Saccharomyces cerevisiae S288C: one gene and its partners. The gene in region 1 interacts genetically with each later gene. Each region holds a gene or a part of one and is shown on either strand. Other genes may lie near its edges. The genes, in order: PSK2, SYF2, CYC1 and BNA1.

What was found.
Region 2: mutations in PSK2 (region 1) and SYF2 together harm fitness more than expected from each alone (negative genetic interaction), as found in Saccharomyces cerevisiae (3 studies listed by BioGRID).
Region 3: mutations in PSK2 (region 1) and CYC1 together harm fitness more than expected from each alone (negative genetic interaction), as found in Saccharomyces cerevisiae (3 studies listed by BioGRID).
Region 4: mutations in PSK2 (region 1) and BNA1 together harm fitness more than expected from each alone (negative genetic interaction), as found in Saccharomyces cerevisiae (3 studies listed by BioGRID).

Annotation. Positions count from the first base shown.
Region 1 is NC_001147.6:241,767-247,344, forward strand, and holds PSK2 (serine/threonine protein kinase PSK2), read left to right. Parts: upstream 1-1,730; coding exon 1,731-5,036; downstream 5,037-5,578. Other genes in the region: LDS2 (Lds2p), read right to left, coding at 1-675, 739-981; PEX15 (Pex15p), read left to right, coding at 5,384-5,578. UniProt on the Saccharomyces cerevisiae protein: Serine/threonine-protein kinase involved in the control of sugar metabolism and translation. Phosphorylates UGP1, which is required for normal glycogen and beta-(1,6)-glucan synthesis.
Region 2 is NC_001139.9:748,463-751,576, forward strand, and holds SYF2 (Syf2p), read left to right. Parts: upstream 1-1,937; coding exon 1,938-2,585; downstream 2,586-3,114. Other genes in the region: UTP8 (Utp8p), read right to left, coding at 1-1,629; YGR130C (uncharacterized protein), read right to left, coding at 2,932-3,114.
Region 3 is NC_001142.9:524,580-527,173, forward strand, and holds CYC1 (cytochrome c), read left to right. Parts: upstream 1-1,755; coding exon 1,756-2,085; downstream 2,086-2,594. Other genes in the region: ANB1 (translation elongation factor eIF-5A), read right to left, coding at 329-802; UTR1 (NADH/NAD(+) kinase), read right to left, coding at 2,305-2,594.
Region 4 is NC_001142.9:470,571-473,230, reverse strand, and holds BNA1 (3-hydroxyanthranilate 3,4-dioxygenase), read left to right. Parts: upstream 1-1,559; coding exon 1,560-2,093; downstream 2,094-2,660. Other genes in the region: YJR026W (gag protein), read right to left, coding at 1-471; methylthioribulose 1-phosphate dehydratase MDE1, read left to right, coding at 2,267-2,660.

The DNA of each region.
Region 1 (5,578 bases):
GTTTGTTCCAATGAACAACCCACCCAGAATGGGAATAGACTCTAATAAACCGCTGGATATCGAGTAAAGGAGCCACTTGGCAAAGCCCTTGTAGTAAACTTTGGAAAGTTTGCGCGAATCCAAATGTAGCACGTCAACAAAATAAGGCTCAAAATAGTAAAATCCCATTCCGGGGCTAAATGGTAGCATATTGATTGTAATTGGACCCACTATTGGAACGAGCAACAATAAAAGAAACATAAAGGCTATGAAGATGTACCAGAAGAAAAAAATGAAAAACTGCGGCAAAGAGACGAGGTAAAACCGTTTCGAAAAGAGGCCACCCAAACGATGTGACCTTCTGTAGACAAAGGGCGTGAAACTTATCGTTTCACAGGCTTCACTCAACTCTGTTAATCCCTTTCTTGCGAACGTCACTCCATAAATACGTGTGAAAAGAACGAAATCGGTACCCTTCACCATAGAATTACATAGCGTTGTGGAAATCAGAATAGTTTGCATATAAGCCAGAGGTAACGCAAAGAGTCCGAGAAAGGGCAAATAGATGCACACTAACAAGGACCACGCAAGGATTGACGTAAACGCAACAATAAGCAGGAGATTCAGCAGGTAGTATCCAAATATTAGGAAAAATAGATGCAAATAATCCGAGTTTCCCACGGATTCGCTAATTCCCTTCAAAGGCGGTTAGTATGACGGCTTAAAAAACATGATCTGCTTATTGGAACATCAACATACTTTATACGGATACCAGATGATCTGGTGCGACGACTCTAGGTCTTTCCAAAAATTGTCTTTAACAAGCATAGCATTCTTGTACCATCGAACTATCGGAGCCTTGTATGCCATCCAAATTTTTGATTTCTTATGGTTCCCTTGGTCTTGGATGGGGAGTAATTGTGGTTCCTCCCCTTCTGCCAGTGGCGTAGAGGCATATGGATGTCTATGGTAATACCAATCAGGTTGGGGTCTAGTCGACATGTTTGCTTGGTGTCTTAGCAGCTCTTATAGTTCTAATGCTATAACTAAGAAAGTAATAATAATAATAATAAAAAGCTTTATATAATGTTTTATTATGGAAGTTTCGTTTTTGTGGCGCGACGCGATCAGCCAAAATCAGCGGAAAAATTCGTCGGAACATTTTTTTCTTTTTTGGCCAAGCTATTGTTACAGGTGGGGCAGGGGCAAGAGACGATATGTCATCGCGAAGCTGTAAAGACACTTGTCGAAGTGATAAAGCGCAAGAGCTGTTTGTCTACGGAACCAGCAAGTACTATCTAATAGCGTGTTCCAGAGAATAACAGCATTTTTCAACTTCTTTCTCCTGGTGTGAGTAATCAGTACGTGAAAAGAGAACGAAGTTAAAAAAAAAAACAAGAAAAAGAAACAAGATCAAAAGAAACGATAAAGGCTGGCTTATAAAATAATAGCATCGCGAACGATCAATAAGGGGCCCTGTTTATTTTTAACAAAGTTTACATATTTCGTTTTCCTCTTTAAGCTGACATCACGTCTATACCCTGTTTTATTCCTTGTTAGAAACATAACGGAGCAGGTAGTAACAACAACAGTATAAACTATCATAAACTTTTTTCCTTCCTTATTGGTGACTTTTAACACTTAGAATTCTAAGTCTGGCAAGAACAGTAATCATACTTCTTTGCAGGGCGTTTTATTGTTACTCCTCTGCCCTGCTAGATTAAAGTAAAGAATCATAAACAAAGAACACAATGACATACCCGGTTAGTGCAGCCGCTCCTGCCGACATTTCATATTCTAAAAATACCCCGTTGGTAGGGCTCTCTAAACCTCCATGCTTGTACCAACACGCTTCCTCGTCCGTCGATTCGTTTTCGTCAACATTCAGTGATGATGATCGTTCGGACCTTGTTGCTGTACCTAATGAGTCGCCGCATGCATTTTCGTATAATCCCATATCACCAAACTCACTGGGAGTAAGGTTGACCATCTTAAGAAGGTCTTTGGAAATAATGGTAAACAGTCCTGACATCTTACATGAGTTGAAGAAAAAAGCACCCGTAATAGCATACCCCCCCTCACTTAGACACACAAGAAACTTAACAGAGACTGCCACGTTATCAGCATCGCGAGATCCGTTAAATGGGTCTCTAATTTCACCATTAGTATCCAATATGCCATCTCCTGCTAGTAGACCCGTGATACAGAGAGCAACGTCCTTAATGGTGTTGCCTGATAATGATACTGCCAGTAAACTGAATCCAGCCAAGTCCGAGTTAGAAAACTTGTTATTCTTGCTAAATTTAGCATTGGAAAACAATTCCTTCGAAAGAGCTTCCGATTTACACATGCTATCGTTATTGAATATCAAGAAAATAAACTTTGATTCAGACATTCAAAAATCAGAAACTTTGAAAAAGGTTTTATTAGATAGTTTAGCAGAACCATTTTTTGAAAACTACAAGAAGTTCCCTCACAAAGATTTAGGTTCGAAATCGCAATATAATGAATATGAGGAGAAACACGATGATATAGTCTCCTTAGCAGACATCAAACCACAACAGGACTATAGCCGAATTCTTCATCCTTTCACATCTGCAAAAAATTCTGGTCCAGAGGCCATTTTTACATGTTCTCAACAATACCCCTGGAACTTCAAAGCTGCCAATGATTTGGCGTGTCTAACGTTCGGTATATCAAAGAATGTTATCAAGGCACTTACTTTACTAGACCTTATTCATACGGATAGCAGAAATTTTGTTCTAGAGAAAATCATGAATGCAGAAGATGATAACCAAGAAATTGTGTTTACCGGAGAAACTATACCTATCGTCCAGCCAAATTCGACAAGCAATAATAATGTACCAAATCTGATTTGGGCTTCACTATGGGCCAAGCGGAAGAATGGCCTACTGGTCTGCGTATTTGAAAAAACGCCTTGCGATTACATTGACGTCATGTTAAACTTGAGAGATTTTTCAGTGGACAGCATTATTGATACAACACACTTTCTGGAAAACTTTGACAAGAAAAAGCAGCAAGAATCAACTTCGCCAATGACAGAAAAGAAAACGGTAAAATTTGCAAATGAAATTCACGATATTGGGTCAGTAAGTCACTCACTGAGTAAACTAATTGATGATGTACGTTTTGGAAAAGTGTTTTCTGCAGATGATGATTTATTACCCTTGTCTATCAGGGTGGCAAATCATGTCAACGAAGAGAGATATTTTACGTTGAATTGTCTATCTGAAAATATACCATGTGCTGTTACAACTTCCGTATTGGAAAACGAAATAAAATTAAAAATTCATAGTTTGCCCTATCAGGCTGGGCTATTTATTGTTGACAGTCACACTTTAAGTCTTTTAAGTTTCAACAAATCAGTCGCCAAAAACATGTTTGGCTTGCGACTTCACGAGTTGGCCGGTAGTTCGGTTACTAAGTTGGTTCCTTCTTTGGCGGACATGATATCTTATATCAATAAAACTTATCCTATGTTAAATATCACATTACCAGAAAATAAAGGATTGGTTTTAACAGAACATTTTTTCAGAAAAATTGAGGCTGAAATGCATCATGATAAGGACTCGTTTTACACTTCTATTGGTCTAGACGGCTGTCACAAAGATGGTAATTTGATAAAGGTGGATGTTCAATTACGGGTCTTGAATACGAATGCTGTATTATTATGGATTACACACTCAAGAGACGTGGTCATTGAAAATTATACCACCGTTCCTTCGCAGCTACCGATGTTAAAGGAGAACGAAATTGATGTCGTTGGCAGTAGAGGTAGTTCCAGTGCATCTTCCAAGAAATCTTCGGAAAAAATTCCTGTGAATACTTTGAAGGCAATGGCTGATCTGTCGATTAGCTCCGCTGAAACGATTTCTAATTCAGACGATGAAGTAGACTTAAATCAAGTGAATGAAAAACTACGAGAAACTTCTTGCGGTAAAGTGAGAGGTATCGAATCTAATGACAACAATAACTATGACGATGACATGACAATGGTTGATGATCCTGAGTTAAAACATAAAATTGAATTAACGAAAATGTACACGCAGGACAAATCAAAATTTGTAAAGGACGACAACTTTAAAGTGGATGAAAAATTTATAATGAGGATAATTGAACCGATAAACGGAGAAGAAATCAAAAAGGAAACAAATGAGCTAGACAAAAGAAATTCTACTTTAAAAGCTACGTACTTGACTACTCCAGAGGCTAATATAGGCTCACAAAAGCGCATAAAGAAATTTTCTGATTTTACTATTCTGCAAGTGATGGGTGAGGGTGCGTACGGTAAAGTCAATTTATGCATTCATAACAGAGAACACTATATCGTGGTCATCAAAATGATTTTCAAAGAGAGGATTTTAGTAGACACATGGGTGAGAGATAGAAAATTAGGTACTATACCTTCTGAGATCCAAATTATGGCGACCTTGAATAAAAATTCCCAAGAAAATATCTTGAAGTTATTAGATTTTTTTGAAGATGACGATTATTATTACATTGAAACACCGGTCCATGGAGAAACTGGTAGTATTGATCTATTTGATGTTATCGAATTCAAAAAAGATATGGTTGAACATGAAGCTAAACTGGTGTTTAAACAGGTAGTCGCTAGTATAAAGCATTTACATGACCAAGGAATTGTTCATAGAGACATAAAGGACGAAAATGTTATTGTTGATTCTCATGGCTTTGTAAAATTAATCGATTTCGGTTCGGCTGCCTATATCAAGAGTGGACCATTCGATGTTTTTGTGGGAACAATGGACTATGCTGCACCTGAAGTCCTTGGTGGTTCCTCTTACAAAGGTAAACCACAAGATATTTGGGCTCTTGGTGTGCTACTTTATACCATAATTTATAAAGAGAATCCTTATTACAACATTGATGAAATCTTGGAAGGTGAATTAAGGTTCGATAAATCGGAACATGTCAGTGAAGAATGCATCAGTTTGATAAAAAGAATTTTGACAAGAGAAGTTGATAAAAGACCTACTATTGATGAAATATATGAAGATAAATGGCTTAAAATCTAGTTTTCCGTACTCTCCAAGATAAAGGGAAAGAATAATTTAATCCATTTTCATAACCATTTACCTTCATAAATGTTCTATTCTTTTTTTGGCTATATATTAATTACATTTTTAATATCATATCATTGCTCTATATCCTTCTTGTCCAGCCTCTATGCAGTATTTTCTTTCATTCTATTTTGGGGCAAACTTCTGCGCTGAGCGGCTTATCGCCGTCGGAGTGACATCAAGTACCATAGAAAAGTCATCGTAGACTTACATATTTAGGCAAGAGAAATAGTTAGGTAAACAGAAAGAGGCACTAGCAGAACGTACTACGGTGTGGTTTATACAAGAGGGTTCTGTGAATAATGGCTGCAAGTGAGATAATGAACAATCTGCCTATGCATTCCCTCGATTCTTCTCTAAGGGATTTACTTAACGATGACTTATTCATTGAAAGTGATGAATCGACCAAGTCGGTAAATGATCAGAGGAGTGAAGTATTTCAAGAATGTGTGAACCTTTTCATAAAAAGAGATATCAAGGATTGCCTAGAAAAAATG
Region 2 (3,114 bases), on another chromosome or scaffold:
TAAGGATAGCAAGTTGCGTGTACGACTCAATGGAAACAATGGGTGTGTCAATAAAAACGTTAAAGTTTTTGGATAATCATTTCCGCTAAACTTTCCGAAAATTAGATCTAAAACTTTATTCAAAAAGCCAGGATCAGAAATATATCTATCTTTTTCAGTATAATGTTCTTCTTTGATTTTTAGTTCTTTGAAAAATATGTCATCAAATGATGTAATGTCATTATCTTGAAGGGCTGAAAGCTTTTCAATAACTTCATTACAGTGGAGGACTGGAACGCTTGAATCCCCGCTGACGTCGTTACATTTCACTCTCTTGTCATTTATGTCTTTATCATCAAATAGCGGCTTTAAAATAACTGAGCTATCATTATTTCCAACTTGAAAACTCTTGCCTAATGAGTCCTTCAACGTATTAGTTCCAACATCAATATTAATTATTTCTAAGGAAGACGTTGGGTTTGGTCCATTTTTCGTTGAAATACCAATTGCTATTGTTTTTGAATTATGCGACTTTTCTGAATTGATCACTGCAGATTTTAATAGTTGGAATGTTTTCACGTGAGTTAATTCTCTTTGGCTTAAAGTAGAACAATGCAGTAAGTCTAGTAGATAAATGACGTTGTTTACGGTCAGTAGAACTCTGTTTACTGAAACAGGTTGGAAAGAGATTAAGTCATCTCCAGGACTGAGTTTATCCACCATCGGAAATTCAATAACTTGTTGCAATTGGCAATGTGGTAAAGAGTAAATGTATATTTTCCCCTGGTTCAATTTGTAAAGTTTTCCAAATTGATAACAAAGCTTTGAATTTTCAAAAGAAAATCCTTCGATGATAGTAGATGATAATTCTTTTATGGGCGAACTTTCTCCACTGCCACAATCTGTTAGCTCGAGCAATTTATAGCAGACTTTATCATCCTGTAATGGACAGAGAACAAAAACATATTCAGTTCCATTTTCAGTGAACCATTTAGCATATTTTAAGTTATCATAAGATATATCAAATGAATGCAAAAGTGTTAACTTAAAATCAAAAATTTCAATCAACCCGTTCTGTAAAATTGCAATTACTAAGCTGTTCTTGGTGTCAATTTTAATACTCATGACTTTGGCTTTCGCCTTGATCTTATACTGAGATAAAAATTCGTCTGAACCCGTGTATGCTTTATTGTCAATATCACTCTCACTCAGATGGTCATTTGAGGTATCAGTGGTATCTTCCAGTGCCTTAGTGATAACATTTAGCGTATAATTACCCTTATTTACCATTAAACCAAAGGCCCAAATTTCAACATTTCTTTTTTTTTGGGTGTTGATAGTCTTCTCGTTGTTGGCTTCATCATCGGTACTGGCTTCTATATTTCCGTCAATGTTCGCTTGACCTTTCTCAGCATTGCATGCCGTGATAATATTTGTAGAGGGTATTGGGTAATCGAATGTTAACTTTGGTGTAGGATTAATAATATATTGAGATATAGATGACCCGGAAATACCTAACGTTATGTTATTTGTAGATTCATTAAAGGTGCCATCTGCGACTTGAACGTAATCTGCTTGTAAAGAAAAATTGCTCAATGAAGCAATTTTTGGGAGAGTTGCTAGTCTAAATGGTTGAGACAGGGATGGCATTTTGAATCTTTACTATCCTCCGGAATGATTTGCTGTTCAAGGAGCGCTAGGTGTGACATATAATATTACAAATTTAACAGTGACCTCATCTCATCAAAGTTTTCAAATTTTTCAGGCATCTGCTACAGCATAATGAAAAAATTTGAAAAATACAGACATTTCCGTGTAGAATGACAAAAAAGCTAGAATATTACTATATTTTCCTTAAAAGAGCAATATTTGCGATGAGGGGCTCTCAATGACAATGTTTGACTTCTCTATTGAACTGTAAGCGAAGCAAAACCATATCTTGTCAAAGTATTCGAAGAATGGATTTTTACAAATTAGACGAGAAGCTGAAGGAGTTGAAAAGGAAAAGAGTAGATGTATCTATAAAGAGTAGGAAGTTGGCTGACAGAGAGATTCAGGAAGTAAGCGCAAATCGAAAACCAAGAGTATACAGTATGGAAGACGTAAATGATGCAGATGAATCAGTAGGAGATACAGAAAGTCCTGAAAAAGAGAAAGCATTTCATTACACTGTCCAAGAATATGATGCGTGGGAACGTAGGCATCCTCAAGGGAAGACTGGGCAAAGCCAAAGAGGTGGAATTTCCTATGATCAACTTGCAAAATTGAGTTATGAGAAGACCTTGCGGAATCTCGCTACGCAAACACAGAATTCGAGCAAACAGGATAGTTCCGCCGATGAAGAAGACAATAAAAACGTACCCAAGAAGGGTAGAATCGGCAAGGTACAGAAGGACACTAAGACGGGTAAGATAACAATTGCAGATGACGACAAGCTAGTTAATAAGTTGGCCGTTTCTTTGCAATCTGAGTCGAAAAAAAGATACGAAGCAAGAAAAAGACAAATGCAAAATGCAAAAACACTGTATGGGGTTGAAAGCTTCATTAATGACAAAAATAAACAATTCAATGAAAAATTGAGCAGGGAATCAAAAGGATCAGAATAAGCTTCTCTTTTATTTAGAATATACCGATATAACCAAAGGAAAGTTTTAATACCCTGGATTTTTCATCGACCGTCACGTGACGAGCTGAGGTTAAATGCCCGCAAAAGTGCTTCAGAAGAGAGTCCATCTTACTCGGTTATTTGAGCACGAAACACTAGAGAATAACTAACTGGTTGATAAATTGTTGATTGAGTAAATATTGGTACATAAAACGGTTACAAAGAGAGGTAGATTAGGAAGGGTGAAAATAATCAAAGGATAACTTGATGATACTCGACAAAGAATAGAAGAGAAAAATAAAATAGAGGTGGGATATTCCTTGAACAAAAGTGGAATATTATTTTTTTTAGGCATACATGACGTCTTCCTCAGTATGATATTCATACAAGGAATCGTCCTTTGGAAGGACGCTCGTATTCTTTTGTGAACGGTCATTTGGTATTTTGTGGTTTTCAGCCGCGTGTATACCTTCAGCTTGTTTGTGCTGCCTACTCAATATTTCTTGCTTCAAGGCCTCATCAGCGTTTTT
Region 3 (2,594 bases), on another chromosome or scaffold:
GTATATACACATGTTCCCGTCAGCTAAATTAAAAAGAAGAAGGAACCGAAAGAAGGCAAATTATAAAGTAATCATCCTCGGCATATTGAGGGGAAAATATCCGTCAAAAAAAAAAGTTCTGCACGTCGTCATAAGTGACTATGGTATCAAACACCAATTAACACGAACGTAGCGATAATGAAGGCAACTTCGTAGCTGAAACAGAACGAAGTTAGTTAGGATGAATAATTATGATTATGATTATTATAATATTATATAAAATGTATAAATAAGATTTCTAGATCAAAAAAACATCGCGTATTTTGTAAGCTATAGAAATCTAAAATATCTAATCAGATCTTGGAGCTTCCTTGAAGGAGATGGCAGCTTCTTCACCCATGGCAGAAATGATAGTGACCATCAAATCCTTACCTTCATCGAAAGCAGCTTGCATGCTGTCACCCAATTCACCTTCTGGTGCCTTGACATCGTCTTTGGTTTCACCGTCCATGGTCATCAAGGACAAGTAGCCATCATCAATATCCAACAATTGGTATTCGCTTCTCTTGACAAATGGAACTTCCAAGTTGTGAGTGGATGGAGACAAATCTTCCAACTTCTTACCAGTGAAGATATCAAGGGTAACCAAATGGACCTTGGCGTGACCGTGCTTACCGGTCTTGGAAGTGGACATGTCGACAATCTTACATGGTCTACCTTTGATGACAACGAAACCATTCTTTCTCAAGGCAGAACATTGCATTGGGTAGGTGGCGGAGGCACCAGCGTCAGCATTTTCAAAGGTGTGTTCTTCGTCAGACATGTTTTAGTGTGTGAATGAAATAGGTGTATGTTTTCTTTTTGCTAGACAATAATTAGGAACAAGGTAAGGGAACTAAAGTGTAGAATAAGATTAAAAAAGAAGAACAAGTTGAAAAGGCAAGTTGAAATTTCAAGAAAAAAGTCAATTGAAGTACAGTAAATTGACCTGAATATATCTGAGTTCCGACAACAATGAGTTTACCAAAGAGAACAATGGAATAGGAAACTTTGAACGAAGAAAGGAAAGCAGGAAAGGAAAAAATTTTTAGGCTCGAGAACAATAGGGCGAAAAAACAGGCAACGAACGAACAATGGAAAAACGAAAAAAAAAAAAAAAAACACAGAAAAGAATGCAGAAAGATGTCAACTGAAAAAAAAAAAGGTGAACACAGGAAAAAAAATAAAAAAAAAAAAAAAAAAAGGAGGACGAAACAAAAAAGTGAAAAAAAATGAAAATTTTTTTGGAAAACCAAGAAATGAATTATATTTCCGTGTGAGACGACATCGTCGAATATGATTCAGGGTAACAGTATTGATGTAATCAATTTCCTACCTGAATCTAAAATTCCCGGGAGCAAGATCAAGATGTTTTCACCGATCTTTCCGGTCTCTTTGGCCGGGGTTTACGGACGATGGCAGAAGACCAAAGCGCCAGTTCATTTGGCGAGCGTTGGTTGGTGGATCAAGCCCACGCGTAGGCAATCCTCGAGCAGATCCGCCAGGCGTGTATATATAGCGTGGATGGCCAGGCAACTTTAGTGCTGACACATACAGGCATATATATATGTGTGCGACGACACATGATCATATGGCATGCATGTGCTCTGTATGTATATAAAACTCTTGTTTTCTTCTTTTCTCTAAATATTCTTTCCTTATACATTAGGACCTTTGCAGCATAAATTACTATACTTCTATAGACACACAAACACAAATACACACACTAAATTAATAATGACTGAATTCAAGGCCGGTTCTGCTAAGAAAGGTGCTACACTTTTCAAGACTAGATGTCTACAATGCCACACCGTGGAAAAGGGTGGCCCACATAAGGTTGGTCCAAACTTGCATGGTATCTTTGGCAGACACTCTGGTCAAGCTGAAGGGTATTCGTACACAGATGCCAATATCAAGAAAAACGTGTTGTGGGACGAAAATAACATGTCAGAGTACTTGACTAACCCAAAGAAATATATTCCTGGTACCAAGATGGCCTTTGGTGGGTTGAAGAAGGAAAAAGACAGAAACGACTTAATTACCTACTTGAAAAAAGCCTGTGAGTAAACAGGCCCCTTTTCCTTTGTCGATATCATGTAATTAGTTATGTCACGCTTACATTCACGCCCTCCTCCCACATCCGCTCTAACCGAAAAGGAAGGAGTTAGACAACCTGAAGTCTAGGTCCCTATTTATTTTTTTTAATAGTTATGTTAGTATTAAGAACGTTATTTATATTTCAAATTTTTCTTTTTTTTCTGTACAAACGCGTGTACGCATGTAACATTATACTGAAAACCTTGCTTGAGAAGGTTTTGGGACGCTCGAAGGCTTTAATTTGCAAGCTTCGCAGTTTACACTCTCATCGTCGCTCTCATCATCGCTTCCGTTGTTGTTTTCCTTAGTAGCGTCTGCTTCCAGAGAGTATTTATCTCTTATTACCTCTAAAGGTTCTGCTTGATTTCTGACTTTGTTCGCCTCATGTGCATATTTTTCTTGGTTCTTTTGGGACAAAATATGCGTAAAGGACTTTTGTTGTTCCCTCACATTCCAGTTTAGTTGTCGACTGATACTGT
Region 4 (2,660 bases), on another chromosome or scaffold:
TGAGGATGAATCAGTAAATGTATTACCTGACTCAGGTGATGGAGTGCTCAGAGGCGTTCCAACTGATGATGGATACTGCGGAAACTGTGATTGTGGCCCAGGTGGAAAGTACATAGGCGACATTTGATAAGGTGTATACGGAATCATAGATGGGTGTCCGTAAAATGACCAACCAGATGGATTGGCTTGGTTTTGGGTCATCATGCACTGCTGTGGGTACGGCCCATTCTGTGGAGGTGGTACTGAAGCAGGTTGAGGAGAGGCATGATGGGGGTTCTCTGGAACAGCTGATGAAGCAGGTGTTGTTGTCTGTTGAGAGTTAGCCTTAGTGGAAGCCTTCTCACATTCTTCTGTTTTGGAAGCTGAAACGTCTAACGGATCTTGATTTGTGTGGACTTCCTTAGAAGTAACCGAAGCACAGGCGCTACCATGAGAAATATGTGAATGTTGAGATAATTGTTGGGATTCCATTGTTGATAAAGGCTATAATATTAGGTATACAGAATATACTAGAAGTTCTCCTCGAGGATATAGGAATCCTCAAAATGGAATCTATATTTCTACATACTAATATTACGATTATTCCTCATTCCGTTTTATATGTTTATATTCATTGATCCTATTACATTATCAATCCTTGCGTTTCAGCTTCCTCTAACTTCGATGACAGCTTCTCATAACTTATGTCATCATCTTAACACCGTATATGATAATATATTGATAATATAACTATTAGTTGATAGACGATAGTGGATTTTTATTCCAACAGCAACATGTTAAAACGAAAGCTGATGTTTGGAAGCCGTCTCGAGTAGGCTATACCGACATATTTTCCCAGGAATATAAAGGAATTGTTGTTGCGATAAAGTTTGTGATCTGTTCTGATGCTGAAGGAACCTTGTACCCGAGAGAGTATAACTCCCGTCTCCATGATGTAAAAAGACTTGGGAGAACAGGACTGTCATTCACAGATAAAAAGGAGGCGTATTTACTCGAATTTAAAAACCAGGACGTTGTAGATCATGTTCATAAGTTAATCTTGCCTTTTAACACATCTTGGCAATCTAACTAGATTCGTCCAATTGTATTTTTACTTCAATAATCTTACATAATAATAAAAATTTTTCTATTTGTCCAAAAAAAAAAAAAATAAATAAAATAAAAAAAGCTACCGTAATTCATGCGTACAGTAACTGGCTTCCTTACTATACCAAGTTTATTCTTTGATTGCGCTGCCAAAATAGCCTGTCAAAATTTGCGCGGATGTATTTTCGACGTCAACGGTGCCATTATTTTTCTGTCACTGACACCTGTACTCCTGAACGGGTATCGGCATTTAGAACGCTGCCTCCAAATGTCTGGTGAACGTTCGTGAATATTCAGAGTGTCGTTATTGCAATGGAATGGCTGCCTTTGTGACGGCGTCAGGATAAATTGTGAGTCACTGAAACATATTCGGCAAAGTAAAAAAACGGACGTAAAAGATTCTTTCTTTATTCTTTTCACGACAGTCTACAAGTAACTGAAATAGCATACATTTACCAAAAAAATCGAAAAAAATGTTTAATACTACACCAATTAATATCGACAAATGGTTGAAGGAGAACGAAGGCCTTTTGAAACCACCGGTGAATAATTATTGCTTACATAAAGGGGGATTCACTGTGATGATTGTCGGTGGGCCTAATGAAAGAACCGGTTATCACATCAATCCAACTCCCGAATGGTTCTATCAAAAAAAAGGATCTATGCTTTTAAAGGTTGTGGATGAGACAGACGCTGAACCAAAGTTCATTGATATCATCATCAATGAAGGCGATTCATATTTATTGCCAGGAAATGTTCCTCACAGTCCTGTTCGGTTTGCTGATACTGTGGGTATTGTTGTGGAACAAGATAGGCCTGGGGGAGAAAACGATAAGATAAGGTGGTACTGTTCTCATTGTCGCCAAGTGGTCCACGAGAGTGAACTGCAAATGTTAGACTTAGGTACCCAAGTGAAAGAAGCCATTTTAGATTTTGAAAATGATGTCGAAAAGAGGACATGTTTCCATTGCAAGACGTTAAACTACGCACGCCCTCAATCTAATTAAGTATTAGAAGAGTTGTTAGTTGTACTTTTATAGCTCTCTTGTTACGTAAGATTGCGGCACTAAGATGCGGTGCCAATTTTTTTTTTTTTTCTCTTGATCAAAGCAGCTAGCTGTTCATCAAGATATGTAACGTTTTTAAGCACTGAACTAACAAGGGGAGCCAGTGAACGACTATGTCTTCACAAGATGTTCTGATACATTCAGATGATCCGTGCCATCCAGCAAATCTCATTTGCACGCTATGCAAGCAGTTTTTTCATAATAATTGGTGCACCGGAACTGGAGGTGGGATTTCAATAAAAGATCCTAACACGAATTATTATTATCTCGCCCCATCTGGGGTGCAGAAGGAGAAGATGATACCTGAGGATTTGTTTGTCATGGACGCTCAGACATTAGAGTATTTGCGCTCTCCCAAGCTTTACAAGCCAAGCGCATGTACTCCATTGTTCTTAGCGTGCTACCAAAAGAAAAATGCAGGTGCTATAATACATACACACTCCCAAAATGCTGTGATATGCTCCTTGCTATTTGGCGATGAGTTCAGGATTGCTAACATCGAACAAA